3 linked regions of the Arabidopsis thaliana genome follow. The protein of the gene in region 1 interacts with the protein of each later gene in a pairwise test. Each region holds a gene or a part of one and is shown in the gene's direction. Other genes may lie near its edges.

Evidence for each region.
Region 2: the proteins of AT5G20030 (region 1) and ARCK1 interact in a two-hybrid assay, tested with the Arabidopsis thaliana proteins (one large-scale study listed by BioGRID).
Region 3: the proteins of AT5G20030 (region 1) and AT3G11590 interact in a two-hybrid assay, tested with the Arabidopsis thaliana proteins (one large-scale study listed by BioGRID).

What each region holds. Positions count from the first base shown.
Region 1 is NC_003076.8:6,763,597-6,773,844, reverse strand, and holds AT5G20030 (Plant Tudor-like RNA-binding protein), read left to right. Parts: upstream 1-7,142; 5' UTR 7,143-7,313; intron 7,314-7,398; exon of another isoform or gene 7,399-7,803; 5' UTR 7,804-7,808; coding exon 7,809-8,192; intron 8,193-8,277; coding exon 8,278-8,874; 3' UTR 8,875-9,118; downstream 9,119-10,248. Other genes in the region: AT5G20045 (uncharacterized protein), read left to right, coding at 1,688-1,921; IPT9 (isopentenyltransferase 9), read left to right, coding at 2,865-3,119, 3,292-3,345, 3,451-3,493, 3,598-3,706, 3,821-4,019, 4,167-4,392, 4,622-4,734, 5,115-5,209 and 3 more; RAN2 (RAS-related GTP-binding nuclear protein 2), read right to left, coding at 9,464-9,881, 10,234-10,248.
Region 2 is NC_003075.7:7,144,011-7,154,272, forward strand, and holds ARCK1 (Protein kinase superfamily protein), read left to right. Parts: upstream 1-4,113; 5' UTR 4,114-4,258; coding exon 4,259-4,328; intron 4,329-4,375; exon of another isoform or gene 4,376-4,419; coding exon 4,420-4,517; intron 4,518-4,604; coding exon 4,605-4,815; intron 4,816-4,906; coding exon 4,907-5,144; intron 5,145-5,237; coding exon 5,238-5,376; intron 5,377-5,453; coding exon 5,454-5,762; 3' UTR 5,763-5,915; downstream 5,916-10,262. Other genes in the region: AGL14 (AGAMOUS-like 14), read left to right, coding at 1,627-1,705, 1,997-2,058, 2,162-2,261, 2,627-2,668, 2,782-2,823, 2,943-3,098; AT4G11900 (S-locus lectin protein kinase family protein), read right to left, coding at 6,231-6,521, 6,620-6,770, 7,050-7,287, 7,397-7,607, 7,731-7,885, 7,963-8,097, 8,164-9,532. UniProt on the Arabidopsis thaliana protein: Forms a complex with CRK36 that may negatively control abscisic acid (ABA) and osmotic stress signal transduction.
Region 3 is NC_003074.8:3,655,678-3,667,497, forward strand, and holds AT3G11590 (golgin family A protein), read left to right. Parts: upstream 1-4,620; 5' UTR 4,621-4,820; intron 4,821-4,919; 5' UTR 4,920-4,950; coding exon 4,951-5,433; intron 5,434-5,486; exon of another isoform or gene 5,487-6,108; coding exon 6,109-6,231; intron 6,232-6,597; coding exon 6,598-7,860; 3' UTR 7,861-8,057; downstream 8,058-11,820. Other genes in the region: AT3G11591 (bric-a-brac protein), read right to left, coding at 8,103-8,294; AT3G11600 (E3 ubiquitin-protein ligase), read left to right, coding at 11,660-11,820.

The sequences.
Region 1 (10,248 bases):
GCCGGCATGCAGATTGATTATGAAATTAATTAATATAAATGGGTTTTATGGAATTGAACAACTCAATTCGAGTTGGAAAAAAAAGAGTGAGTATTAATTTTTTAATTAATAAAAAACAATGGTATAATTCAACACAATTATGCATTTCAGTATACTATTAGACTGTTTCTGTCTGGTTATTGGCTAGTTTTTGTCTTGGGTCAACGTTTTGTTGTGGTTAGTTAAAAACCTTTTTGGCTTCTTCTTTTTTTTTTTTGTCAACGGATATCAGCCCTATGATGTCCTTCCCATTGGTTGGCCGACTCTACGCTTCACTTTCATATATTTTTTTTGGCTCGTAATATCCAATTTTGACTTCTTCAAATTGAAAATTTGTCACAGAAAAAGCTTTAACCACAGGAAAGGAGTAGCCAGCCAGATCAAGATTGAGTAGAGCACGATCAGTCAAAATAAGTTGCTCCGTATATATATCTTTTCCAAATAGAAAGATGAAGTTTACTCTATGGGCATACCACTCTCAATCAGAGGCTGTAGCCAAGTAGGTATTACGTTAATAACTGAATAACCAAAAAGATCAAGAAAATAGTCTATAATGACCATTCTAAATTCTCAATAAGGGAATATTGGGTATGCATATATGCAATGTATTTTTTTATATTTTCTTTTCATGCAAGCTCGTAGGAAATTATATGTAATTTTTTCACAGGTTAACCAAGAGTTGGTTGGATTAATTAATTGACGCAGGCCGGACAAAATCTATGAAAAACTTATGATAGTACTTGTATTCTGTACATGCATCCATACAACTTGTATTCATAAAGCTACAACATATATATGTAACGGAGAATATGGACTACGTTATCTTGTTCTGGTGAATTTAAGGCCTTGAATTTCTTGATTAATAAAAATTTGATATTATGGTATAGCTAGCATGTATTCCTAACTAGCTAGATATTGTTAGGATGAATATATATATTTAAAGAAGTCCGTTGTCATATGAACGCGCATTTTGACTTGTGGAAAAGATTCACATGCATGTGCACCTTTAAGTTCGGTGCAATCAAACAGAAATCTTAAATTTTTGAACGAGTTTATATACCTTAGTGCTTATTTGTCAACGCTCTATGTCTCGATTTATAATGCGTCTATGCTAATATAATTTAGTGCAGCCAAAAAATTAGTATACAAACAATATAACTCCTTGTAGTATGTGACTTTTTCATAAAGCTAATCGAAACAAATGAAAGATTTTATGACCAAAAAAGCAAAGAAAAAAAAAGATTTACGACCACAATTTTACAACTGTTAACTAGATCAAAAGAATTTAAGATGCAATTTTTTTTTTGATATCTTTCATTTTCAAATTTCAACTCTTCTTGGGGGGATAGCCGAATCGTATAAGTCTTGCTATCAAAAGCTATTTTAACAAGTTTAAATTTCGTAAGCAAAGTTCACCTATCATATTCATCATAACTTAAGCCATAACTTCAGGAGTTTGCATGCAACATTAAATGTCTCCAAGCATACTATACGCTTTGACTTTTGAAATCTTATATATAATGTTGATATTGTGACGAATAGAAATCCTTATACATACAAAACTGCATAGTGGCTAAAGACCATATATATAAGCAGATCACCGTTCGTATAATATATAGTTTCCAAATCCAAATTAAGGCGCCATAAGATGCAAAGGTTACAAATAAGTTCTCGGCCATCTGAAGAGTTTCTGATTAACCTCTCGGTGGATTCCGCAAGCCCTGACGGTCTCGTGGTCTACGACGACATAGCCAAGAAGGAACTGTCTCTACACAACAATAGTTACAAGTCTGCTAATGGAGAGAGAGCTATTCACCTAATCCCTATTGTTCTCTTTCTATGTGGTTTTATGCTTTGGGTTTTCTCAAGTGCAACTATATAATTACTATGAAGCTACGCCACATAAAGGAATGAACTTTTTTCATTTGTGAATTGTGATCACTTGAAATTTTAATTACAATATTTGCTTCTATAGATTCTTTATTCGTTAATTAGTGTTAACTTTCACGGTTTTACTTGTTGTTTTTTTGTCTCTTACGGTCAAAATAGCCACGAAAGATAAGAGGTAAAACTTTTATTTGATCTTCGTGTCCATCTTTTGACTAATTCGTGGCCAATGATCAAGGAACAGTCGTGGCTACAAAGGATATGACTTATTCGAGAGAACAAGTGTACTTAATCAACATATATGATCACTATGGTGCATCTTCAATAAACTACTTGTCTCTGTATATGACTAATTTTACATGTTACATCTTGATATTTCTTTATGTATGTTTGGTTTTATAATCCCGATCCATACCCAATTCCTACTACATAGGCGAGGTTATACGGCTTAATAGAGTCGAACTCCGATAAAAATGATAAAATCAAATAGATTTAAGAAAATGTAAAATCAAATGAACTTAATCACTTGACTAAAGACACATCCTATAATTTAAATTTTCGAATATATAGATGGATCGAACCGGTCGAATCCTACCAGCCCGACCATAAAAAACCTAATCATAGGACCCTGTAATTGATCAAAAACCATATGTAATTGTTCCATTTTTTGGTTGTGTAAGTAATTAACACGACATGATAACATCGTTTATAACTGTCTAGGTTTAAGTAAACCGTTTAATTTCGGTTCGCTTGTTCGGTTTATGTGTAAACCTAACCGAACCGTAGTTCTCTAATCCCTTGCTCACTGTCTTCGTCTCTCTTCGAGATGAGCTTTCGCGCGGGTCGTCCTCCTTCCCTTCTATCAACCTCAGTATATCCGTAGCAAACTTGTGCTATCTTCCAAATTCTAAATTTCAAAGCTTCGTTATCCGTTTATAATGGTGATTGGCAGTGGCGTATTTTTGACCCGTACCTGTTACTTGAGACTTCAACCGCCAAGCCTTGTACTGCGCCGGAGATTCTGCGCAGCCACCACGGCCTGCTCTGTTCCTCTGAACGGGAACAAGAAGAAAAAGTCTGAAAAGGAGAAGGTGATTGTGATTTCTGGGCCCACCGGCGCAGGAAAGAGCAGACTTGCCATGGAGCTCGCTAAGCGACTCAATGGCGAAATCATCAGTGCTGACTCCGTTCAGGTCCATTTTCTCACTTGTACTCTCTAAATAAGTTACAGCTCACTTGAAATTTGAAACCTTGTTGAGGATAATTGCTAAAGTTGAAGTTTTTAGTTTTATCAATTCCAGAACTTCGCATCTATGTTTGGTGTGGATTAAAAAGGTTCTTGCTTTTGTTTTACCCCAATCACAGGTGTATAAAGGCCTTGATGTTGGATCAGCCAAGCCATCAGATAGCGATAGAAAGGTATCTTTCTGAAATATTTGGTAAGATTTATTCATTTCTATCTCACGTTGGTGCCGTTCGTGATCACATTGTATTTGAAAGTTGTATGTTTTACGAATTATTCAGGTGGTGCCTCATCATCTTATCGACATTTTGCATCCGTCTCAAGGTATTTGTCGACTTTGTTGCTATTGCAAATGCCACTAGTGTAGATGCTTCTGATACTGATGTATGTAAAGGAAGAAACTTACACATTTTTCCATGCTTTGTTAGACTACTCTGTGGGGCAATTTTATGATGATGGAAGGCAAGCTACCAAAGATATTCTTAATAGAGGGCGTGTTCCCATTGTTACGGGTGGAACTGGATTGTATCTGCGATGGTATGGCTGTAGATTATATACTTGTCTAGTGGCTCTTTCGTATAATGTTAAAAGCAATTATAGTATACTGCAAAATCTAGAATTCATCCATTTACATGCTTTTGTTAATGTTAGGTTTATGTATGGGAAGCCGGATGTGCCTAAACCTTCTCCAGAAGTTATCGCTGAGGCCCATGATATGCTAGTTGGTTTTCAAACCGAATATAACTGGGACGCAGCTGTGGAGTTGGTGGTCAATGCTGGTGATCCAAAAGCTTCTTCTTTACCTCGTAATGATTGGTACAGACTACGCCGTAGCCTCGAGATACTCAAGGTTTGACAATTATTAACTTCAACTGTTGTCTTGCCCTTGTAGATAAATGATTTCTTGCCTGATAGGTTGATGAACTATCATTGTTTTATTTTGGATTGTATGCAACTATGCACTATTAATCTTGCTTTGAATGTTTTTTCCTGGCAGTCAACTGGATCGCCTCCGTCTTCCTTTCGCATTCCTTATGATTCCTTTCGAGTAAATTTAGTTGCTCCTGATGCTGATGACTTCCTTGAGGACGGTTCATCTGCCGATATCTCTATCCAAAACATAGAGACAGATTTGGACTATGACTTTCTTTGTTTTTTCTTGTCAAGCCCACGGGTTGCTCTCTACAGATCTATTGATTTCAGATGTGAAGACATGCTTTCAGGTAAAAATAAGTGCTACTACTTAATTAGTAATAACTTGCAAGAATACAATTGCAGCCCCATTGCATGGCACCTTACAGTAATAAGTCTTTTCTTATCTGATTCTTCTAATTATAACCCAAAAAAGAGACAATTTGCATGCTCTTTGCTGTGTCGTATGCAATTTTGTATATATTTGCTTGGCATTGCTTCTGAGTTTATCTTTCCTTGGTGCTTTGTCTCTCAACTCAGGACCCAATGGAGTTTTGTCAGAAGCTAGATGGCTTCTTGATCTTGGTCTTCTTCCAAACTCAAATCCTGCAACTCGTGCCATTGGGTACAGACAGGTGAACTCTTTATTTCCTGTACTGGGTTGTGAATAACGAACTGAGAAGAGAAGGCTTTCTTCTGTTAATCTAGTGCATAGTCTTTATAATTAGCCAAGGGCTCTGCAGTGGATTGTAGCTGTTAATTTGGCAGCATGTCCAGTTCAGTGAAGAATATGGATTTGGTTCTAGAAATTGCATGACTCCATGTTATATAACAGTTATTTTTCGGTTTAAGACATATAGCCATTACTATTAGCATATATCATCATCCACTTATACCAAGTTGGTTCAGAAAGGAAGTCCATTCTTATTTAGTTGGAAAAATGAAATACTTTACGACTTCATCATTGCAATTTATTTGTCGTACTTTGATACCGTTTTTGATCAACAATGGAAATATGATTCCTTGTTTTCAGGCCATGGAATATCTATTACAATGTCGTCGATATGAGGGCGAAAGTTCCCCTAGAGAATTTTATGCTTTCTTGAACAAATTTCAGACAGCATCCAGGTGAATCCTCTACATAGACTTGAAATATCTAGTGTATTAGCTTTTGGACGAAATAGTGATTGAGAATAAATGAAAGTCGAAGTTCTGTTTTGATTCTTTCACATTGATTCATTTCTTCACTTTTTGTCTCCTGCAAAAGTTTAAAGAACCCATGTTATCCTCTCTTATCGCTTTTAAACTAATACTTGGTTTGCTTGATACGCAGAAACTTTGCAAAAAGGCAAATGACATGGTTCCGGTGTGAGCCTATGTACCACTGGCTCAATGCTTCCAAACCTCTGGTATATGTTTAAGAGGGCTCTCTCTGTTCTATTCAGTCTCTTATATACTATCAACCAAGCATTGTGATAATTCATTGTTCTGGCAGGATTCAATACTTCAATGCATATACGATGCTTATGAGAGCGAAGCAGAGATGGTGGAGATACCGGAGTCTCTAAGAATGAGCAAAGACGTAAGAGATTCTCGAGAAGCTTCTGAACTAAAGGGGTATCGCTCCAAAAACAGGTACAAAGATCAAACATAACACTAAATTAGGCTTTCTTTTGGTTATTAAATTCTTCTTCGTTTGGTAATGGGTTGAATCTCTTAATGAAGGCATTTCGTAAGACGAGAGGACTGTTCTTCGGTGTTAGAATGGATCAGGAGTGAAGGATGTAAGAGTGAAGCTTCATGCGTGGAAAGCGCAATAGCATAAACACTGCTTCATTTTATCCGGAAAAGCCAAAACCAAAACCAAAACAAAAGTGTGTTTTGCTTATAAACTTTTTACGAGTAGACAAGATTTTGGATCATGTTCTTGAGTACACGTATGAAGAAAATATTGCACACCCTTCTTTATTCATGAGCTCATACAATTAGGAAGCAATAATGATTTCCAAAAAAGAGAAATTCAAAAGTTGTAAAATCTTATGAACCATTAGGAGTCGCATTCAAATAATTCTAACACTATTGTTCAGGTGATGACACAATCCGTTGTGAAATCAAGAAGATATGAATAAGTACTGCAAGGGAAAGACAAACTAAAATATAAAATTTGATCGTTAGAAGCCAAAAAATATGGACCCTACGATCTCGATAATATTTTTTATGACCAAAAACTCAAAAGTGAATTGGGAATTATGTAAAGCCACCTGACCTGACCATCCCCATTACGTTTTTTTTTCCTTCTTTTTCTAATAACTGTTTTTAAATTAAGTAAATATGTCGAAACTTTTGGCACACCGGAACACGCACTTTGCTCGTGCTCACCTAGAAACAAACAAATAACGTAACGTCAATACATATTGATAAACTGTTATACTATGAATTACAGACTATGATTATCCTATAATTACGTACATAAGTGTGTAAGTATTTGATATGTCGAACCAATAAGACGAGCAAGGGATATGTTAGTCTCAAAATAATGATAACTTTCAGATAAGGTGATTAAATTTATAAATTTTGCACTTTCGTTATGTTTAGTGTTATCTTAGGCTGATCAACACCTAGATTACAACATCATGTTTCCAATTAATCTTCTTTTTCTTTTGGTCAACTCATATCAAAATCATTCATTGAATTAATTAAATGCTATACACCACTCCTATGAAAAATAAACCAAATCATAGAGGTCTAATTAATGTTGAAACAATTCTCTTTTAGATATCTCAAATATAAGAAAACATAACAAATTCAACTTTTAATCTTTTACATATCTTCCAACAAACCATCAAGTTATTCTCACTTATCAAATTACATTTTTTTTGGTTATTTTACACAAAATAGTCCCATATCAAATAAAATGAAACAAAAAGGCTATTTCTCATGCAACTTGAAATATTCTCTTCTTCATTTTCTTAAAAATATTTTCATTTAAAAAATGATTTTTGGCTTGCTGCTGCTGATGTGGAATATACATTTATCTTTTTTGTTCCTTTTGATAATTATTTGCATATACGTTTTTAATTTTGTTTTATTTGCCCTTTTGATCCAAGTTTGGTTGCCCAGAAATATCAAAGAAAAAAAAACAAAGCTTTGTTGTTTCTGGCAGTAGAATCATTCATGGCTTTCTTTGCGTGTTAAACATTCACTAACCTAAAAACTAAAACTTCGTTTTCAGGTAATCACAATCACAATCTCAAATTTATTTTTTTTTTCTTTTTTTTTTAATTTGAATTTTTGAGTTTTAAGTCTCTTCATGTCCGCTTAAAGATTTTTGATTCTCTTCCCCTAATCAATTTCTCAGTAATGAAGATTGATCCTAGGAACTGAGTCATACTCTGTTTTCAATTTCATTAACATTTCAAGCCATTGTATGCTTCTGGATTTGGTTTTTTGCAATTTAGGACTTTTTCTGCAATCTAGTGATTATGAAGCAAAACAATCTGTAATCTTTATACCAATTGGTTGAAGTTGAATTTTTTGGATGTGAATGAGTCTAATGGATCTTATTGGTCCAACTTGTTTCTGGATATTTGGATGTATTTATCTTGTTTTGTTGCTTAATGATTGTGAAGCACCAGCCTTTTAGCATATGTGATGTTCAATTCTGATCTTTATAAGCAGTTGGAATGTGAAAAGATATTTACTTTAAGGTGTTTTTGAAGCAGCAATCATGAGATTCAACAAGGGAACTAAAGTCGAAGTGTTGAGCAAATCATCGGTTCCATCTGGCGCCTGGCGGTCTGCAGAGATCATATCAGGAAATGGGCATTACTACACTGTCATGTATGATCATAATGATGGTACAGAGAGGGTACCGAGGAAGAGTATGAGGCCTGAGCCTCCTCGTTTACAAGTTCTTGATGCTTGGTGTCCTGGTGACATTCTTGAGGTTTTCCAAAGTTGTTCGTGGAAGATGGCAATCGTTTCCAAGGTTTTAGGAAACGGTTGTTTCTTGGTTAGATTACTTGGTTCCTCACTGAAGTTCAAGGTGACTAAATCCGATATTCGGGTTAGACAATCTTGGCAAGATAACGAGTGGATCATGATTGGACAGGTACTTGTTTCTTTCCTCTGTGACTATATCTTTTTAAAGTCTGTTTTTGAGCTGACATTTTGTTTATTTTACCATTTGGCTGAAGGGTACATCAAGATTAAGCGCACAGACTTCAACAGGAGAACTAAGGAGAAAGGTGAATCCGAAAGGCGACTACATTTCATCTGAGAGCAAAGACAAGCTTGATGAGTCTGATGTACCTTTGTCAGTAGGTCTAAAGAAACGGACTTACTCTTTGGTTGAACCTCACAATCAAACTAGAGCTTTAGCTGCTTATCCTCCAAGGTTTCGTGAAGAAGTGAAAGAAGAAGAAGAAGATAGAGAGAGTGTTGCTTCTTCTGTTGGTAGTTGTTGCATGGATACTGATGGTCTCAGTGCTGTTTCATTCAATCCCATTGAAACCGGTAACTCTAGTGACACAGAGTCATCGTCTTGTGGCTACGGGAAGGTCAAGAAGTTGGTGGTTCCAAGAAAAGGCTCAGAGGCTGCTGATGTTCATAGGTTAGAGCTGGATGCATACCGAAGCAGTATCGAGAGATTGCACGCATCCGGACCAATCATAACATGGGAACAAGAAACGTGGATTACAAATCTCCGTCTCAAATTGAACATTTCGAATGAGGAACATCTGATGCAGATAAGAAACCTTATCTCTGACGATAACAGTACTATATACAGATAGCAGCAGCAGCAGCATTGAGAACTACAGTTTGTGTTACATAGAATAAAAACTGAGTGTAGATTGTACAAATGTCATTTTATTTTTCATTCAGGTTTTTTGATTTAATTCCAAACTTGTGAAAGAAAATTTGATCATCTTTACTCTTTTATCTTTGCGTTGGACTTGAGGAAGACTAGCAATGTATATATGATTCATGCCATGGCCTAAAAGCTATACATAAAAAAGGAGATGAGAAGATTTGTGTACGTAATTGAAACACTAGTGATTAAACTAACAATTTCAAGTAGCACAGCTAAATATTCTCCTTTTATGTTTGATTCATATGACCAAGTAGCTACAATAGTTACAAAATCTAAAATGTTGCAACTGGCAAAGTAAAAGAAAAGTGGGTAGAATCAAAGTTTTCCAATAACCGCATATTCTTTAAGGCAGAAAAAACTTGACTGCAAATTCTCTTTGGGTCCCAAAAAACAGAACAATCCAAATAATTCCCCCAATTTTGGTTCTAAAATAGACCGATTGATTTATATGTAACATCAACTCAAAAAACATCATAGAGGAAAACCACAGCAGACATTTTTGGAAGATTTTACTCAAATGCGTCATCATCATCATCGGGGAGAGGCTGAGCTGCAGCAGCTGCAAGATCGGCCTCATTCTGCTGCTGAGCAGCAATGTCAAGGTGAACCTCTGGTGGAGCAAGAGCTGGTGACTCCACAAAGTGAAGGTTCTGGTCTCCAGCCAGTTTCCTAGCAAGGTACAAGAAAGGCTTCTCGAAGTTGTAGTTGCTCTTTGCTGATATCTCATAGTACTGCAGATTCTTCTTCCTGTGGAATGTGACTTGCTTTGCCTTCACTTGCCTGTTCTTCACATCGACTTTGTTTCCACACAGAACAATCGGGATGTTTTCACACACCCTGCAAAGATCACGATGCCATGTCGGAACATTCTTGTATGTGAGCCTTGCTGTGACGTCAAACATTATTATCGCACATTGACCATGGATGCTGCAAGAAAACCGAAGATTAGCAATATATCCAGATGGAATATCAAACAAACCATTATCATTCAAGTCCCAGTCAGCTATTCCTATTGTCCAGGTAACAATAGTTGCAAACATGACATGTGAGATGGTTCTTGAATTTCACAACCTAACCAGCGCTAATCAAAACAATGCAAACTTTAATAGATATTGAGATCTTAACAGATTACTTCAACAACATACGATTCCTATTCCCACCGTCCAGGTAACAAATCGGTTGCCAATTTTACGCACAAACCAACCAGAGCTAATCCAAACTATACACACTCTAGATTGAGTATACACACAAACATATCAATGGAGATATGTATACTTACTAGTATCCATCCCTA
Region 2 (10,262 bases), on another chromosome or scaffold:
AGCAAAGGTGTGTAAATACATGATGAGATATAGTTTGGAGTTTGGACAACTAACAGAAAATTCCAGTAAAAAATAAAACATTTTTGACAAAGAAGAGCTAACCTTGAAATGCTATTCGACACACACATGTAGCACTAAGTTTGAGTACAGTCTTCTTACTCAAATTAGGCAATAAATTCTCATATGAGATAGATTCCATTTTTACTTGGTTCATATTTAACCAGATTTAGAAAAAACAATATTTCCTTCTTTAGAGGTGTGTTTCCCTATTATATTTTTTCTTGTGTATTTTAATAATGTAGGAAGAACTTATACACACTGACACACACACATATACATATACTGTATATACTATATACAAGCACTTAATTACTACTGTATTGATGTACTTGAAAAGTTTTGTTTTCTAAAACATTGGGATTAGACTGCTCATTTTCACATATATGCATGAATTTGGTTATATATTTTGTAATTTGAAATAATGGTGTCACACTAATAATACTGATGAGATTTGAGTGTTTTGATTTCATAGGAAGCTAAGTATTGCATTATATATGCATGTATAATTATGATATAGATTTATATGTACATAATTTCTAAACATATTTCATTTTTATATATATGTACGTACGTAACTACATTAACAGGTATGTATGATTATGATATAGATTTATTATTGTCGACCACCACGTAATACAAGATCAAAATGGTGATCAAAGAAAAATTTATGTACCTTTTGAATTTTAATTATTTTTTATATGTACATGTACCCGTCAATAAATAGCTGACCAACGTTTCTTTTAATTTATTTCTGTTTTGTAAAATTACTTCTCTTTTTTACTCTTGGGCAAAGAGGAATTTTCAAACCAAAAATAGAAAAATACTAACGCTTTTTCTTTTCAAAATCGTCACTATACCATTTTGAATGTGTGTATATGTGGATGCATGCACCTATGTACATTTAGGATTTATGTATGTTTATTCAATATTGAGGTAACAAAGAAGCATTTGACACACTTTTCACCCAAATAGTACAATTACAAAGGCCTCTTTATCTGAGTGATGAGTGATGAGTGATGAGTGATGACAGTGAAGGTGTCATTAGCATGTGTCTAGATCAGACTATGTTGATTCTTTTTATGATTTCTCTATTTGTTATATTTTGTATAGTTATAAATTATTTTGTATGTTTACTATGTGGTTATTTAATTACATGTACGTACTTTATTAGACAAAAAAAAAGAATGATATTTTAGTTTTTTTTTTGAAGCAAGCCAAGAGGGTTAAAAATCAAAACTAACTATAGGTGTTGTTTACACATACTGTATTTACCTGTTAATCAGTTTTTAATTACTTAATTAAGCCATATCCACATGACTAGAAGATATCTTTAACTCAGATTGCAACATTTATATATTATGTTTTAGTTATTGATATTCTTACTTCATTATAAATCCAAAAGATCAGCAGAAGATTGATACAATTTTTATTAGATCACAATACTATAAGCATTATCATTAAATTGTGAGAAATCTAGCTTAGACATTTGCTTCTTAATTATTTCCTTTAATTTGACTTGTTTTTGTTTTTGATATACTGATTTGATTTTTGAAATTTTAATTTCAGTATACCTAAAACAGTAGAAAGATATCAAAAGCGAATACAAGATCTCGGGTCTAACCATAAGAGAAATGATAATTCACAGGTAACCAAACTTCATAGAATTGTTAGTTTATCATGGTTATTTTCATATATATACATTTGCTAAAAATATACTTATCCAGAGCTCAAGTAAAAAGAAATTCTATATCAATATCTAGTACAATTTTATGGTGTAGATCCTTTGGTGTACCACTTTTAAAAAATTAATATACATGCTAAAGTGTATGCTTTATTTATCGAACATGGGTGATAATTTTTTATATTAATATTTGTACTTACAATTTTGGTTAAGAAAATATGTTTTGCATTTCTCATGATCAAACCTTGTTGACAGCAATCGAAGGACGAAACCTATGGCTTGGCGAGAAAGATCGAACATTTGGAGATTTCGACACGGTTTTTGAACTCAAAATACTTATACGAATATTTTGTTATGAATGTAACGTTTACATTGTAAGCGTCTATTTACCATATGTTTAAAAAATATATACATTTGCAGAAAAATGATGGGAGAAGGACTTGACGCATCTTCTATAGAAGAGTTACAACAATTGGAGAACCAGTTGGACAGAAGCTTAATGAAAATAAGAGCCAAAAAGGTAACTTCTAGATTATTGTATATGTGATCATTTCTTAGTTTTAAAATAAAATCTTCACTCTTATCATATGGTTATTGTTTCATCGAGATTTATGACAATGACGTGGTGGCCGCCTGGTTCGATTATCACAAATGAGTTGATTATGTAAACAATATAAACATGGGATCATCCTATAAACACTCCAAATACACACATACACACACACACACACACACACACACACTTGGAGGCATGCATGCATGCATGCATATGTGTTGAGAAAAGACTTATATGTTATCTTCTTCTTCTTTTTTGTCATCACCTTATATGTTATCTTTAATGAGTCTTTTACCAACTAATTTAGCTATTTAATTCCTTAATTTCAGTACCAGTTATTACGAGAAGAAACTGAGAAATTAAAAGAAAAGGTAACATGTAGCTTTTTTATTAATTTAGTACAAATGTATTGGTCAGGTACTAATCATATTTCCCATAATTAAACGGTTAAACCATATTTCATGGTTTATTGTCAATATTTTAGGAGAGGAACCTCATTGCAGAAAATAAAATGCTGATGGAGAAGGTACAAATTAATATTAACTTACGGGCTGATTTATGTTCTCAATTCTCATTCTATTATTATGAAATTATCTGCTTTTTTTCAAAAAGTGTGTTTTAATTTGAGGAAATGTGTGAATGAAGTGTGAGATGCAAGGAAGAGGAATAATAGGAAGAATATCATCATCATCATCAACATCAGAACTGGATATAGATGACAATGAAATGGAAGTGGTGACTGATTTGTTCATTGGACCTCCTGAGACTCGACACTTCAAAAAGTTTCCTCCTTCAAACTAACATATATAGTACAATGCTTATATAGATATTATGTAGGGAATTACTTTTTTCCCTGAAGAAAAATTGATGTTACTTACTGAATTTAGCAGTTGCATAAAAAAAAAGATTACTGCATTTAAGCTTTGCTTTTTTTTTCTTTTTGTTTTTTTCTTTTGTATCGTCTCACCCAACTTTGCAATCCTAAAATAATTTCAGAATAAATTGTTTAACAGGTTTTTTATTTAACATAATTTTTTCATATCTTTTTAAAAATAATTGTTTAGAATATAACTAATTTGATCGATATATTATATGTTCGGGACAAGTTCTTGGAGAGTGAAAACAAATCCGGGTGCGTAGCTAGGTCGGTTCCCTATAATGGCTTTGCGGATAAGATCTCCATGTTTCATGCTAGACATGAAGATGATGTATGATTTATATACGAATAATGGGTCAGTTGGAAAGATTTTTGAATCCTAGTAGAGGTATGGTCTTTTGAACTCGGGAAAAGTTGCATTGCACCGACCTCTTAAAGTCCTTTTACACTTGGTCTAGACCCAAAAATCGTTGGCTTTCTATGATCGGTCTTTGTCAGCGTGTCATTTACGTGACGTGGTTGGTTTGGTTCGAAATTTCTAAGTAGCTGAAAATTCAGTTCCGTTCCTTCCAAGAACATCATCTTGAAGTAGAATTCTTTGTGACAAACAAAAAAAAATGGTAGAATTCTATGGTTATATATATATATATATATATATATATATATATGTTTATTATAACAACAGACCTAATATCTTCTATGTTTTATGTAATATCTATTTATTTTTTGTTATTTATTGAACCTACATACAAATAAAACAAAACAAAGTAAACTTCTAAATAATATATTTTTCATTTTCATTTTAGTTGAAATATAATTTGATTTTCAATACCAAACTATATAATATCAATATTCAGAATAAGTTAATTGTTACGTATTAAAAACAATGCAAGAACAAATGAAGAAGCCAAAATATCCAAAATGAATAGTAGAAGTCAAGGTCAACATAGTGGACTCTAACAATATCAACGAAGTCAACCGTTGAAGAAATTAAATAACTTGTCTAATAAGTTCTTCTTTTTTCTTGGATTAAATACTTGTTTGAAGCAAATTCAGAGACACTGTCTTCGTCTTCATCTTTGCTATGGCCGTTACTTCGCTTCTCGATACCGTTTTCCGACGTAGAAAGAAGAAGTCTACTGAGTTTATAAGCTGTAAGTATTCATGTTTCTTCTTCTCAAACCTTTTCCTCACATCTGTTACAAAACACACAAAACTATGTTTAATTCTACTTGTCTCTACTAGATACAGCAGTTTTCGAATTCGACTTGGACACCATTAAAGCTGCAACAAATGATTTCTCAGAACTGGTTGGTCGTGGCGGATTTGGTTTTGTTTACAAGGTTTGTTTTTAGTGGTTTCGTACGTTGGTTCGTTTTTAGTGTATGGTAAGAAATTGTAATTAAAACATCCTTTTAAATCATTTTCAGGGTAGGCTTCAAAATGGACAAGAAATAGCAGTCAAGATTTTGTCTACAAGTTCAATTAGAACTGAGAGACAGTTTCATAACGAACTTATTATTTTGTCTAAGCTTAAACACAAGAATCTGATCAATCTTCTTGGTTTCTGCACTAAACGAGACCAACATGGTCTTGTTTACGAGTTCATGCCTAACTCAAGCCTCGATTGTTTTATACTCGGTTAGACAGTTTAAAACAGAGTACCCTTTCCAAATACAATCTAGTCTAGTATCAAGTTCTCATCATTAGTCATTGTGGTAATGTGTTACAGACCCACACAGAGCTGCTCAGCTAAATTGGGAGATGTGCCGAAACATTATTGATGGCATAGCTCGAGGGCTACGTTACCTTCATGAAGAATCCGGGTTATGGGTCGTTCACCGCGACATTAAACCTGGAAACATTCTATTGGATTCAGATTTGAAACCGAAAATAGTGGGATTTGAATTGGCGAGGACGATGCAACAAGGTGAAAACGCAGCTGAAACAACTGAAATTGTCGGTACCGTGTAAGTGAAGTTTTGTGATTTAACATGCTTGAGGGTAAATGTTTTGAAGATGTTTAGAGTGTGATGTATAAAACATTTTTTGATTATCAACAGAGGGTATTTAGATCCGGAGTACATACGAAGCGGACGTGTTTCCGTCAAATCTGACGTTTATGCCTTTGGAGTTACAATCTTGACGATCATTAGCAGAAGGAAGGCTTGGAGTGTGGACGGAGACTCTCTAATCAAATATGTGAGTTTATATTTAAGTAAAAGTTTGTATGATGGTAATTAAGTGGTTCCTTAATCGTATGAATTGTCTTCTTTTAGGTTAGGAGATGCTGGAACAGAGGAGAAGCCATAGATGTGATCCATGAAGTGATGAGGGAAGAAGAAAGAGAATATTCGATAAGCGAAATCTTGAGATACATTCACATTGCTTTGCTATGTGTGGATGAGAATGCTGAGAGAAGGCCGAATATTGATAAAGTTCTGCATTGGTTTAGTTGTTTCTCTACTCCTTTACCTGATCCAACATTTGGTAATAGATTTCTTGTAGAGGAAGAAACAAATTGGCCCTGGTCGCCATCTTTATCTCCTGGTCACAGCTCTGTCACGTCACCCATATCTTCACGTTAAGGAGATTGAGTGCTCTGTTTTATTAGACTGACGAGAGTTTATGATGAAAAGAATTGTTGGTTGATAAGTTCAAGTCGTAATTTGCTATTGTCTTCTTCTTTTTGTGCCCAAATCCAGTAAGACCATTTAGGACGATTCAACAATTATTTGATTACTTTGTTTTCAAATGACAAAGAATAAAATATTTTAAAGAACACTCTCAGCATCACATAAGCAGTTTAAGTAAATACTCTTATCTAATAAATCAGGGGATAACCAAGTGTCGTTAGCTCAATTGGTAAAAACCCTACACGAAGCTTATAGGTCGCCGGTTCGAGTGACACTTGAAACGAAACTAATATTACATGTTGTGGTTTCGGGCCTGGAAGATTACAGGCTTCGGCCCAGAACCTCCTGGTATTAAAAAAAAATAAAAAATAATAATAATTCAGGGGATATAGCAACATTTTTACCAAGTATTGTTAATGTTCATCGCGCTTCCAGTTCTGTTTGCGTTGCTTCGTTTATGGAGAATACGTAGTCTAGCTGTTGATCCCCGTTCAACACGTTTGAGAAAGTTGGTTGTTTCGGAATCGGAAGAGTGTTATCGTTGCTCAACATATAAACGATTTGTGAAATCATGGGTCTATCTTTAGGATGATCTTGAACACAAAGAAGTGCGATATGAATGCACCGCATCGCTTCTTCTAAAGAATACGAACAACACATTGGTTCATCTATAATGCTTACACCTTTTGTTTCACACCAAGATTCCCATTCCTGAAGATGATCAACAACATATAGTTTGGGATTGATCTAAGGTAAGTTACGTTTTTATATATGGTAGATAAATGATATTGAACTATAGAAACACTTACATAAGCAATAAGGCTGTGTTTTTGGTCGTTATGAACAAACCTTGTCGCCTTTTTACCCGATATGATCTCCAATAACAACACTCCAAAGCTGTATATATCCGATTTCTCTGAAATCACTCCACCTAATGCATATTCCGGTGACATATAGCCGCTGAAATTAACCGCTTATGAAATTTAATCCAAAGATTCTAATGTAAATACATATAGGTAGTGATTGTTTTTTCCTTTGCATTGACATGTAAAAATTATGTACTTACCTCAGCACAATGTTTTAGTTTTTTCAAACATCATTCATAAATAAGTTGCAAAGACACTAGGAATGAAAAAAAAAGTATGTGTGTTATAATACTGAGAAACATAAACTTAAACTCAACATTTTAGTGTTTGAAACAAGTGGATACATAACTAACTATACGAGATGTACACTTACAATGTCCCGACGATTCTTTGGGTGCTATCATCGATTTGCTTGCAACCAAAAATCCTTGCGGTTCCAAAATCTGAGATCTTAGGATTCATCTCATCGTCAAGTAGAATATTGCTTGCCTTAAGATCTCGGTGAATGATCCTGAGACGTGAGTACTCATGCAGATATTGAAGTCCTCTTGTCGTCCCATTTACTATTTTCATACGTGTCTCCCAATCCAATTCCCTAGACTTTAAAGAATCTATATAGATATATATATATGTGTGCCCAAAAACAGAACGTTAAGAAGTCAATTATTTATATTTCAAATTCAAATGTAGTAGTTTTGGATAGTTATATTCACCACTCACCAAAGAGTAAACCATCAAGGCTCTTATTCGACATGTACTCATAAATTAGGAGCTTCTCATCGCCTTCAACACAATACCCTAAAAGCCTCACCAAGTTCTTGTGTTGAAGCTTTATGATCAGAACAACTTCATTCTTGAACTCTGTCAGACCTTGACTTGATTTTTTTGAAAGCCTTTTGATTGCCACTTCCATCCCATTTGGTAGCTTTCCCTGCCCATCAAAGTTTCTATAGTAAGATTGTAACGATGATGATATTCAAACTAGCTACTTTGTTTAAACCTTTAGCCAAACAAACTTACAAGCTCAGTATTAATTGTATTGTTTAATTAATACCTTGTAGACTGGACCAAAACCACCTTCTCCTAACTTTTTTTTCCTAGAGAAAGAATTTGTTGCAACCATTATGTCATGTAGATTTAGGTAACACATATTTTCTCCAGCATCATCAATTAGGCCACCTTCTAATAGCTCTCTGCTATGTTTTTCGTCTGCGTATAATTCGTGTTTCAGAAACTAGTGAGAAATCTTGTATAGTGATTATGCAAAAAGCTAAAACCGATCTCACCTCTTTGTTTCTTTTTTCTTCTTATTCTTGAAGAAATGCAACAATACAAACCAACGAAACATGCAGCAGTTGCTACAAGTGATGCTAGTACAAGTGGTAACACAATGCTTTTGCCTTTAGAATGTTCTGTTTTTCCTGAGTAGAAAAATGAGTTTAGAGATATCTCAACGCATTCGTTTATTTGTTAGTGAAAATACTCACGGTTGTTTGCAGTTGAGATGTTTGAAGATGCAAGTCTAAGAAAGAATGTGTGTCCCTTATTTGCATCGAGTTGTTGCAGATTGAAAGCATCTTTTGTCCACACCAAACACTTGTTTCCATCATTTGCGTACGCTTGGCAAGAACAATCAGCTACGCAACGTGAGGCACACGTCCTAAAAGTCCCGGATGTCAAGACCGATGCTGTTGTTGGATCAGTGGCTAATTTCATGTTTTCAATAGGAAGAAACTCGTCATTTCGCTTATAACAATGAAGGTATGTTTCCCTTTTACAACCACCAGAGTAATCATTCGAGTCATCAGATCCTTGGGAAAATTCTCGTTTGAAACCAGGAACACATCTACATGGGGGAGGCTCTCGGTTTTCATTGCAAATCCCAAATGATCCACAACTGTTATAAACGTCACATCTATTATCAGGTTGAGACAATATCACACGCCACGACTGTAAGTCAACGTGCCAAACTTGCAGCATGAACTGCCCCGAAACACCCATGACCAAACGATATCTGCTCTGGGGATCTACTGAAAAGGTGATGTAAGACTCATCCATATTCAATGTGAAACTCAACTTAGTACCTTGCAATTCTGGAAATCCCTTGAAACTTTGAAGCCAATCATACAATGGCCCACTGGACCAATATGACTTTGATCTATTCCAAACCGTGACGAGTGAGTGTAGTTTAGGGTCAAACTCGAGAGAGTATCGACCCGGTGATGGATCTATCAAGCTCTCCCAAGAAGTGAAAAGTTGGCTTCCTAATCTGATTTTACCGCCAGGAAGCCAAGTATCCGAGGGATGATCAAAACTCTGCCACAACACAGCTGCAGAAGAATTAGGCCCATCTCTCAATACTAGATTACCACTATCAAACAGAACAGCTTGAACATCCTTGCTCATACTAGAGTTAACACCGGTCGACCAAACTGTTTCATGGAAAAGTAAGTTTCCTTCTGAGATCTTTTGAGGGGATCTCCGAGATGTCCCCTCCGTATGAGATTTACGGGTGGCGCTGATATTATCATGGAGAATTAAGTTTCCATCTAAGATCTTTAATAAGTAAGTAGAAGCATCCCCTCCAAGAGGAGATTCTCGGTTTGCGACCCAAACAATAGTCTGTGGAGAGACGTGCCTGTACCACATTCCTATGTAGTAGTTTCTATGATCATAAGTATCTGGAGTTGGGGTGAAGAGACCGAGTTCGAATATATCACCGCTGGAAACAATGGTCTCAAATCCTGAAAGAGGTTGATTGGTAGAAATAGTGTCAGTTGAAGAAGAAACTTGAAAAGACAAGAACACCAACACTCCGTAGTATAATAAAAACACATTCTTCTTGCAAATCTGCATGTTTGTTTTGAAAATAAAAGACAGAAAGAGTCTTCTTGGCTCACGAGTCAACTAGACTACAGAGTAGATGAATAACAAGTTGTTCTTGCAGGTCTCCACGTTTCTACACCACACGATAGTTTGAAGATAAAAGAGGTTTATGTAACATAATTACATAATGAAAGAGTCTTCTTGACCCTCGAGTCAACTCACTAGCAGCGTAAGTCAAGAGCAAACTTCCAAATTTCAGGGAAATAAATGGGATAATAAAAATCTCGATTAAAGGATAATTTGATATAGATGATATGTCCCCTTGTTATTTTCTCAACAAATTCTTATTCACTCATAGCCAAAAAAATTTTAACAATATGCCACGGAATTAAAAATAAATTAAAATAAAAATAAAAAGATAAAATAAATTAAAATAAAAAAATAAAAAAATATGTATACTTTTAAGCTTAAGTACATTCCGCATGGGTTTATAAACGAGTATTAGCGTTTAGATTTTTACAATTAAAGAAAACTATATGTCGGTTTGGGTTTATAAATAAAGATTAAATTTAGATTTTACAACTAAACAAATTTATATGTTAGTTTAGAGTTATCAAAAAATGATAAGTTTAGATTTTATAATTAAACAAAATTATATGTTGGTCTGGTTTGGGTTTATAAAAAAAGTAATTAAGGTTTATATGTCTATTTGGATTTATAAATGAGGTTAATCAGGATTTAGATATTAAAATTAAACGAA
Region 3 (11,820 bases), on another chromosome or scaffold:
TTACAGATTAAAGTGTGTTTCATGGGTATATAGACATATTACACGACATAGACACGAATATATAGGATTATAATGATATCTTGAGCACAAAGGAAAGACACGAGAGGAATCTGCCATGTAATTCGTGGAGGGTTCCTAAAATGATAAGTCTGCAAAAAAAATTTTGATAAAAATGTTCAGAAGACGACAAACCTAGTTTGTCATTTATGGAAAGTGAATGGTGCGAGAAGCTTCATGAAACTCAGGGGTAAGTTGCTACTTTTGCTTTTTATTTTTCTATTTCTGACATTTTCACCATTCCCTAGCAAATTAAAGACAGGTTTATGAATTGTCTTTCTATTTTTTTCTCTTTTAGTTCTTGCTATGGCAATATTAATCCATTGGTTATAATATTATGATAATAAATCTACACATTAAACGAGTCATGTTGAAACCAATGGTGTAGATCCTGCATGCTGTTAATTATATACAAATACGTCGGCAACAATGTTCGAGATGATTAAATATTAGCCCTATCTATGGCTATTCAAATATTTTCTTAATGGTTTAAATTGGTCTCCGAATTTATAAGAACTACTACTAGTAGAAAACAAGATAATTCAGTCTCTTGACTACCATATATAGTAAACGTCTTGTTTTTTACAACTGCGACATATTTTCACTTATGATGATGGTAAACGACTAAATGTGTGTTTGACCTCGCGTTATGATTAATGTGTAGCTAAAAAGTTGCTGCAAGCAAGGAAAATTTATATTTATATGGGAGACGTTGTAACATTAACCACGTCATCAGTCTCTGCTTATTTAAAAAAAATTGTAAGAAAAGTGGTTTAACCTTTAAAGTAACTATCCAGATTTTGAACAATCCTAAAGTAAAATAGTAACAATCAGATATTTATATATGTACGTGTGAGATTTAATTAGTTTGCATATAATTTTAAATTTGTTTCTCCTAAGTAGGGGACCAAAGCTATTTGTTGTATATTCTATGAAACCAAAGCTAAATGCTCGGAGGGAGTGGACCACACATATTTCTTTTACATCTTTATCTTTTTTTGTGTTAAGAGGTTTAAAAAATAAAAATATCTGCACTGTTCAGATATAAATTTATGCAGCCGATATCTTAGACTTAGACCGAAAATATTAAATCTCAAAGTATAGAAAGAAAAAAACAAGAGTAATAAGTAACAAACACCAAAATTCCGTAGAAAAAACACACCAATAGAGTAAACTGAAATGGAAAATATCACAACTAGAGTAAACTGAAAGATAAGCAATTATGAAACATTATATACAACCCCTAATATAATAATTCATTAATTTATTCACATTAAGTTATTGGTTTCTATTTGAATATTAGAGTTATTTAATAGCTGTCAAAAAAAAATAGAGTTATTTAATAAACTTAAAAAAGTCAATATTATTTTTGATCGTATATTACAAAAATCATAACGGATGATAAGTTTAACACACTGTTCACTATAGAAGATAAAACATTTAAAACTTTTACTTCTAATAGAAAATTAAAATAAAGAAGGTTATAAAATGGAGAAGACAAAAATAAAAGGTACGGCTAAGTTTGGCGGTTTGGGAGAGTTGAAAAACAAAAGAAGATAGAGATGGTGGGACAATGAGAACAACACACAATTGCACGCCTCTCTCTATCTACTCTCTGAGCTCTCTACATTGCATCAAAATTTCGATTATTTGAGAGTCCCCATTTCAAAGTTAACCACCTTTTGCTTCTTTTATTACAATATAATGTTAAATCAGTAGTTTACGAACGCCTATGAAAATGATCAATTGTAGTCTTCAACATTACCAATCAAGATGACAATATAAATACACGGTGTGAAATACTGTAAATAAAAACATAAGAGAAATCATATACGACTAATTAAAAAAAAAATATATATGATTCGATGCCTTCGCTTATAATTTTTATAGAAAACAAAAAATTATTGTATTTTCTAATTTTTTTTTTTAACTTTATTTTCTTTACGAATGAAAGATGTGTTTTAATAAAGAACTTACATTATGGGGATAAATAATAATAGAAAAATAAAAATAATGAAAGCCTATATATATGTATCCCTCTAATGATGTGTATAATTAGGATTAGACATCTCATAACTCTCAACAAGTTGACTTGTTGACTTAGCTCTTCGTCAATGAGAGCGAACATGTTTGTTGGAACACATCATTAGTGGACAAATGAATGCAGATTAAAAGAAAAATTATAATCAAATTTTCTAGAAAAACATATGACAGATACTTTGAGAGATAATAGAGTTTTTGTTTGATTGAATATAACATATTGTGGTTTGTTTTCACGTGGTTTAGAAAAGAAACAAGAGTGGGCTTTTAAATTGGGCCCACAGAGTGGCAGAAGCAGGGCTGAGAGAGTAATGGGTCCTACAAAACGCCCATGATCCCAAAATTTCCAAAGAAAATGGAGACAATCTTCTGTGTTTATCCGAAAGCTACCCTCACGCTTTGGATTTTCTTCTTCTTTTTTTTTTCTCTCTCTTTTCTTTTTTAATACTACTTATTTTTCTATAAATTTGTATATCTAGCTATAAAGGTAATAGAAAATGGTAAGTTATTTTTTCCTTCCGGTACAAAAGATGAAAACATGCAATAGTCGGCAAAGGTCCACACTCCACACATTTGTCTGCACATCTATCCAATATTCATTCATAGGTTCAACCACAACTTTATCTACTACATATATATTTTTTATTTTATTGAACGAATTTATATTCGTTTTCCATTTCTGTCATATATCATAGTAGATGTTGATAGTTGGGTAATGGAGCAAGTGAAAGATTGATGGTTGGTAGACCATAGATTCATGCATTCATACCATAAGGTATACTGATGGTGATTGGGTAAATTTTTGAGTCAGCTATTACAATTGAAAAGTTCATCAAATGACAAAACTATTACAACTTAGATCTTTGACAGCCAAAAGAAAAAAAAAAAAAAAAGAGAAAAAAAAAACTAAATTGTTGTTAGAAATTAGAAGTCAGAAGTAAGAAGACTCCCATAGGAATACAGTTCTGGCAACCAATTTCTTAGTTCTTTATTGGGCATTCATATCTTAGTTGGGCCTGACTCATATATATTTTGAACTTTTTGTACGCAATTGTATCTAACACTATAGTCTTACATTGTTCATATATTTAATGTTTTATATTGATTGCTACCTATATATTTTGATATGATGTAGATCCAACTATTTCTAGGTTGAATTGTCTTTTCGAACAGATTTTGTTTCCGGATTCACCATAAAAAAAAAAAAAAACTTATGTGACAGAAAGTACTATAGAAAGAATCGTGTTTACAACAATAAAGAGACTTGACCCAAACAAAAAACGTTTACAACAATAAAGAGTTGAACAATAATACGGTACGATTGTGTATGTTGAATCATCTCCTCCACTTGGACGTGTCCATTTGACAACGGAAAAAAGTGTGGCCGTGTTATCTTTCTTTGTAACGTTTACAGTTTCAATTGTTTAGTTTGATCAAATAATTAACTTGTGAATTTTATGGATGCAATATCTTGAAAACTAGGAAATCATATCTGATCATCCTGCTATAAAAAAAATAATACATGCATTTTAATATTCATGGTTTCACATGAATACTTCGGTCATCCATTTTTCAATTACACGAGTGTAAATCTGTAATATCAATATTCATTTATAATTATAACGGGTTGTGATTTGTGAAATTGTGGGTATAGATAAAACTTCAAAACCTATTGAAATGAATATCTATATACTTGGAATAGTAGTAGACACATTTTGTAATGAGTAACTTAAGCACACCGGTTCTCACTCACACTCGTCTAATGGAGAAAAATGGTATATTATATACCTCATATAGGAACATGATCATATGATTTAGGAGTCATAAGCATGAGATTAACAAGATATTTTGGTCCACATTAGGAATCTACTAAAGGAACTATTTTCTTATAACCTAAAAATCTTGGTTTGGTAAAAAGAACAACCTTAGATTATTTGGTCTTTTATCGATTCATGTAATTGTGTATCAAATGATTAAAATCTAATGCATCCTACTCAAACACGTCATTTAAGAAACCCTATATAGTACAAACACGATCCAATCTCCAAATTAACCCATAGTATATCATAGACGAGCATAATATTTTTGGTCAAATATAAAATTAGATGCACTAGTTCCCTTTATTTAGGCAGATGGACTTTCTTCTAATCGAAAATAATTGTTCTCAATGAGCCGTCAAACTTTGTGAAATATGGATATAAATTCATGACATCTACATAATTTTTGGTTTAACATGTGAAATTGAACTTAGGATCTATTTCATTCGAATTCTTACCATATACTAACCAAATATAAATAATGTTTACTGCTAAATACTATTTATATAAGTTTGTTCTTCACTAAAGAAATTTGTTGATTAGTTTGTTTTTCTAATTGAGAATCTCTTATTTCAGGACCGATAAAAAGGAAGTGATTTCCGGTTTTCGATTCAATTATTTCGGTTTAAGTCGGTTTACAAATCATCCACCCTGTAAATCACGGAGCAACATCCATAATCCATACAGATCAAACCACGTGGACATGTTACAGTGTTCCTTATCACAGAAGATGAGTACTCCTGTCATCTTTCCCCTTTTCACTTTAACATAACACTCTGTACACTAGTCTGATCAAAAAACCTCAAAACACAGCAACCGCCATTTCTTTCCAAATTCCCCCAATTCCCATTCCAACTTTATCTTCTGAAGTAGAAGAAGAAGCCATAGAAATGCTTTGAAGTTTCTGTAAGTGTTCTTACTCACTCTAAAAACTTCAATTTTGGTCTTTGTGCTTTTTTCTAACAGATCGGTGAAATTTTCTGAATCTGCTTTTTGTTTTTCCAGGTAAAGAGAAAGATCTACAATTGTTTTGAATATGCCGAGGCAGAATCAAAGCGTAGAGAATCTACTTCTACTTGGCAAAATCAGGAAACGTGGTTGTTCTTCGCCGACATCGTCGACTTCTTCGATTCTCCGTGAAGGTTATAGATTCAAAAGAGCGATAGTTGTTGGTAAAAGAGGAGGATCCACTACTCCTGTACCTACATGGAGACTTATGGGTCGATCTCCTTCTCCACGAGCTTCCGGTGCTTTACACGCTGCTGCTTCTCCGTCGTCTCACTGCGGGAGCAAAACCGGTAAAGTATCAGCTCCTGCTCCTGTTTCAGCTAGGAAGTTAGCTGCGACGCTTTGGGAGATGAACGAGATGCCTTCACCTAGAGTTGTGGAGGAGGCTGCGCCAATGATTAGAAAGAGTAGAAAGGAGAGAATCGCGCCGCTTCCTCCGCCGAGATCATCGGTTCATTCTGGTTCTCTACCGCCTCATCTTTCTGATCCGTCGCATAGTCCAGTCTCTGAGGTAAAATGCTTTGGTTATGATTGGTTGAGAGGAAGAGAATGTGCTGTAATTCCAACTTCTTGCTGGCTGCCATGTGCTTTAATTCTGACCGATCAAAAGAGAGAGAGAAAAACAATAATATATATAGTATAGTATTGATTGATTCGGGGAAGTTATAAAGATCTCATCTTTAACTGATAAAATTGATAATCTTTGTGTGATTCTAAGGTCTGAATTTAGTCAAAGTTGTGATTTTTTTGGCAACCTCTATGAGTATTTTAATCATCAAGGGAGATTATTATTCGTATAAGCTTCTGGTTGATGTTAAGGAGTGGGATTAGAGAAGAATAGAAAACTGTTTTGATCTTAAGAATCTTTTGTCATGTGCTCTATAACGCACATTTATGTTTATATGAAAGGGCGTTTCTTTATAAGTTGGTGCCTATTATTCTTGCATAATTGGGCACTTCTACTAGTTTTTATTCTTTCTCATTCGTTGGTCATATGGAGGTAGCTGGTTGTTTTTTAGAGGTTGATTTATTGTGAATAATGTAGGCCTAGATTCTCTTATAATGGAGACCTAAGAAAAATTATATATAATGCTAAATCTGGCAATGGACAATGCGAAGAATTCTGCTTTCTTTACTTCTGTGTGTTAGGTAATTGGATAGCTGAGAAACTTGTTGATTTTTGTAGAGGATGGAAAGATCAGGGACTGGGAGTCGCCAGAGAAGAGCTTCATCAACTGTGCAAAAGCTTAGGCTTGGAGACTGCAATGTGGGGGCTAGGGATCCTATTAACAGTGGCAGCTTCATGGATGTAAGTTGATTTTTTTATTTTTTTTTCACTCTTGGGGATGTTTCTTTGAGCATTATGAGGAACCCTTTCTTCTAGCAGTTTTCATAATTTTCTCAAACCAAATTTGGTATTTGATTAAGGATGAAAGTAGTATATTATTGAGCATTATTGGCTCCAGAGGCTGTTGGTTTTTTTACTTTGGAAGCATACGTACACATAATCTATGGTTTGTTTTGTTATGCACAGAAACATTGCAAATAACGGTATAAGAAACTAGGAGACACTCAATCCGTTATGATTAGTTAATTTGCCTCCATCATCTATAAATCAATATGTGTGCAAGAGAGTGATGTTCAAAAATATTTGAAATGTGTTTTTCCAATGCAGATTGAGACTCGATCACGGGTGGAGACACCGACTGGGTCAACTGTGGGTGTCAAAACACGGTTGAAGGATTGTAGTAACGCTCTCACAACATCAAAAGAGCTTCTCAAAATCATTAACAGAATGTGGGGTCAAGACGACCGCCCATCTTCTAGCATGTCCCTCGTCTCTGCTTTACATTCTGAGCTCGAAAGAGCTCGCTTACAGGTCAATCAGTTAATCCACGAACATAAACCGGAAAACAACGACATTAGCTACTTGATGAAGCGTTTTGCCGAAGAGAAAGCTGTGTGGAAAAGCAACGAGCAAGAAGTTGTTGAGGCTGCAATCGAATCTGTTGCTGGTGAGCTAGAAGTGGAGAGGAAGCTGAGGAGACGGTTTGAGAGCTTGAACAAGAAATTGGGCAAAGAATTGGCTGAAACAAAATCAGCTCTGATGAAAGCAGTTAAAGAAATCGAGAACGAGAAGCGAGCGAGAGTGATGGTTGAGAAAGTTTGTGATGAACTAGCAAGAGACATAAGCGAAGACAAAGCCGAAGTTGAAGAACTGAAGAGAGAATCTTTTAAAGTCAAAGAAGAAGTCGAAAAGGAAAGAGAGATGTTGCAGTTAGCAGATGCATTGCGGGAAGAGAGAGTACAGATGAAACTATCGGAGGCTAAACACCAGCTCGAGGAGAAAAACGCAGCTGTTGATAAGCTAAGAAACCAGCTTCAAACTTACCTCAAAGCAAAAAGATGTAAAGAGAAGACCCGTGAACCACCTCAAACTCAGCTACATAACGAAGAGGCTGGAGATTATTTAAACCATCACATCAGTTTTGGATCATATAACATCGAAGATGGAGAAGTCGAGAATGGAAATGAAGAAGGTTCAGGCGAAAGCGACCTTCATTCCATAGAACTGAACATAGACAACAAGAGCTATAAATGGCCTTATGGTGAAGAGAACAGAGGAAGAAAATCAACGCCAAGGAAAAGCCTTTCTTTACAAAGAAGCATATCGGATTGTGTTGATTGGGTTGTACAGAGCGAGAAGCTTCAAAAAAGTGGAGATGGAGGGTTGGATTGGGGAAGATCTATTGACGTTGAGCCTAAAGGGTATATAGATGAAACACAAGCTTATAAACCAAACAAGGCTTCTTCAAAAGATCACCATATCCTCTCGGGTTCGAGACTAAGTAACTTCCGCGGTGGATCTGTTTCAAAGTCGCGGTTATCGGATGCTTCGAAAGGCGAGAACCAGAATGCCAGAAAATCAAGATGGTAATATGATCAAGAAATTTTATTCACATTTTCAGCGCAGAGATAACAGAATCTAAAGACTTTACATCTACATTTTTTCTCTGTTCGCTCGTTTTGTCAAGAGTGATTCTCTCATCTGTAAGTGACATAAAACATGAATTTGAACTGGTAATGATCCAAACATGTAAGAGCATGAATTTACACGAAATCGTCTTTTGATTTATATCATTTAAGAGTTAGAACGCCTACAAGATCGAAAAAAAGACACTAATCGTCGAGCCATTTCCTGATTCGATCCTTGACGAAATCATTACGAGCTTTGACGCGAGCTTGTTGCGGTGAGATGTTGGCGAGTGAGAGATACGCTCCGGCGACGAAGAGAGAAACGCCCGCCGCGAAAAAACCCACCGACACTACTAACTGCCGCCGTGTCGGCGGATACGACATAAAAAACACCATCTTATCGTTTACCGCCGTCTGTTGCAAAAGCTGTTTAATACTAACTGTTAATGGGCCGGGGTTTTTTATTTTATTTTGGGCTTTATTTTTAATCTCCAATTTCTCAACAAATTAAAAAAAAAGAGTATTAAAAAAAAGGAATGAAGATTAAACCGAGAAGGCGAGAACTTTTTTTTTTTTTGTTATTGGTTATTTAATATTATAAACAATGGTTTAATGGATTATTTTCGAATTTAGATCCATACAAAATTTGAAAAGAGCCCAATCAACTATACCAAACCGAACCAAGCTCTTAAATCAAAATCGACCCGAGCTAATAAACTGACTAAACCGATCTACTATGAAGCCCTAATCTTCAATCGGAAAATCCAAAAAAGCCGCCGGCCAACAGATCTGCGAATATTCTTCGGAATAGGACTTCCGACGAGTCTGGACAATGCGAGCCGAACGGAGATGGTAACACAGATTTCGTCGCCATCCCACGACTGTAGAGCAATATATGATTGATTGTTGATTTTTATGGTCTGTGTGTGGGTTTGTTGATCTAAATCTTATTGTATTGTAAGATCAAAAGCCAAGAAACGAAAGATCCGGAGTAAGCTCAACATCATAGCAAAAATGTTGCTCGTGAGGAGGACTAAGATTTGGCTTTGAGCTTTGATTCTACGACGTTTTACTCGCTATGAATCTAAACATTTTGTAAGTAAAGCGTGAAGCTTATGTCGAAATCATATTATAGCTACTAAAATAAGTAGAATGTCTAATCTCTTAGATCAACAATATAATATTAATAGGCTACATCTTTATAAAAATTAAGGCTAGTATTTACTTAAAATTAGTGTTTAAGGATATTTTTTTTAAAAAAAAAATCATAACATTAACATTTATGAAAATTATTTTTGATTTTCATGATATTAACTCACAAAATCTCATTTTCAATGAGAATATTTGAAAAATGGTAAAAAAAACTCTTGTCTTTAAAAGAAAAATATGTATTCAAGGCAACAATTTAAATTTTTGCCTTAAACCGCTTTTGACCTTCGCACATTATGTTTCATAGATAAAAAGAGTTATGGAAAAAACTTTAGATCTTAACCTAAAATGCATGAATTATAGTTAAGGTTGGTTCGATATTGATAACATTATGATATTGCACATATATTAATGTGATTCATGTGCCTGAAAGATCTGAAGGTCTTGTCAAACGAAGTAAATTTAATTTTTGTTTTAAGAGATCTGAGATCAAAAAAATTACTGAGTAGCTATATCAATTAAAATCTATTGTTAGTTTTCAGAAATAGAGACCGAAAAAGAACTACTGTTCTAAATTAATAGTGTTAGACATTGGACATAAAATGTACAATCTTGCATAAAACTGGTTTGATTTGATTTTTTAATGTCGTAGTTGTTATAATATTACATTAGTATATGTATAAAGCAAAATCTTCAGTCCTCTAATCTTCCCTCTAGTTTTCATTTTCTGTTCTTAGAAGCATTTTCCTTCACTATAACATTAAAGTTTTTCCTAATCTTGCTTCTCTTAGCATTTGTAATAGTGGTTTTTACAAAACGATAGGATTAACAAAGACAAATTCTTAAAACTAATTCGGTTAATTGCTCTACTCGACTTGAGAATCATTCATATTCTCTGTGACAATAATTACTTTAGCTTTTGTATTGTGAAGTTGAGAATAAGTAAATTAATTAAGCTAAAATGTCTAAATTATCAAATTGTTTGGTTAGTCTGTCCATGTCGTTTACACTTCTAAAGATTTACGTATTTGTAAGGGATTTTAGTCAACTAAACTGAATCATTAGATGATATGCATTTAATTTAATTAGCCGTATTTATTATAATCCACGCGTCTATCATGTTCAGATACGGTCAAATTTAATCTTTAAATGTAAAAGTATAGTTCATGACCACCAATTAAGCAATGTATCAAACTATATAATTGTGTAAATATTTTTTTTACAAAAACAAAAAGACAAGAAATATTAAAGCTAATTTATTTTCTGTTTTGTCGACAAAAATAACTGTAATTTAACTTTGGTTCTCTTTATTTTAACATTTTAATTCCATGTATTTCTACAGGTATTGTTACATAAGATACCAAATCCGAACATTGGTTTTCATTCATACTTATCTCTTAACATTAATTGTAAATCCAGCCAAGCATGGTCATAGTTTCAATTAAATGAAATTAATTGTAAGGTTGTCAGCTTTTATTATACTAGTAGTTCGGAAGATATTACCTCTTCCGTGTTATTATTATCTTTATTATCTATTGTTTTTAATAGGAAAATTTATAAATTTGTGTTTACCAATTTCTTCTTACAAAAAATAAAATAAAAAATCATTAAATAACTTCACATGGGAAATTAACTCACACTGCAATATTAATAGCTTGCTTTTGGTGTGAAGCTACGTGATATTGCAGTCACAACAATTAACTTTGACGTAGCCATTCTTTTAGTATCTTGTAAGTTTCTTTAGAAGATTTTGTAATCCTGTGATTAACATTAATATATATACATTTAATTCTTTTCCTGCTTCGATTAAGACACCTTTTACATATACGTATATCTGTTCTCTTTAATACATTTAAAATACTATTCTGTATTTTTTTCAGAAAACATATTTTACAAACATACACTGATACACATAATCTTTACACTTATACATAAACGTACACAAAGAGGTGTATATATAACCTAGCTACCAAAAAATAACAACAAAATGGAATAACAGTTAAAGCATTTACTAATATAACCAATTGAAGAAAGCTGAGATTACTTGAGACTGTACTAAAAAGTATGATTAGAATGAATGATTTACGTCTACAAATCTAGCACGTATATTGCTCGACTAGTTCCGTGTCAATGAAGATTGTCTAGAACAATTAAAGACGTTTTCTTTTCTTTTCTTCTTTTGTCAACAGACTAACAGAGCAATTAAAGACTTAAAAGTACTGTTACTTTCAGTTAAAATTTGTCGAGGATATTAAAAATAATTTCTCGGACTTGAGATTTTTTTTCTTTTTTACCATATGGTTTGCTTTCATTCGAATTTTATTATTTGAATCTTAGTAGTATTTGCGATGTTCAAAAGTAAAAAGTTACTATAATTGTTCGCAGTTAAAGACTAGCTAGTCTCTCTAGCTATTATCGTTGGAGTATTATTTATATATTTTCACCTATCATAATTAAATTAGGCCTTAATGAATATATCTCTCTCTCTCCCTCTAACCAACTTTATGTTTGTTTTATAAAATGGCATAAGCATAACCAACAAGAAGACGACTTTCTCAATAAAACCAAAACCTCTTTCTCAATCCCACATAGAGAGAAAGAGAGAGAGAGAGATGAGTCGGAGGAACAAGAACGGCCCTAAGCTCGAGCTGAGGCTGAATCTTTCGCCGCCTCCTTCTCAAGCCAGCCAGATGAGTCTTGTTCGATCACCAAACCGATCCAACACGACTTCACCAAGCTCATGCGTTTCATCTGAAACTAACCAGGAGGAGAA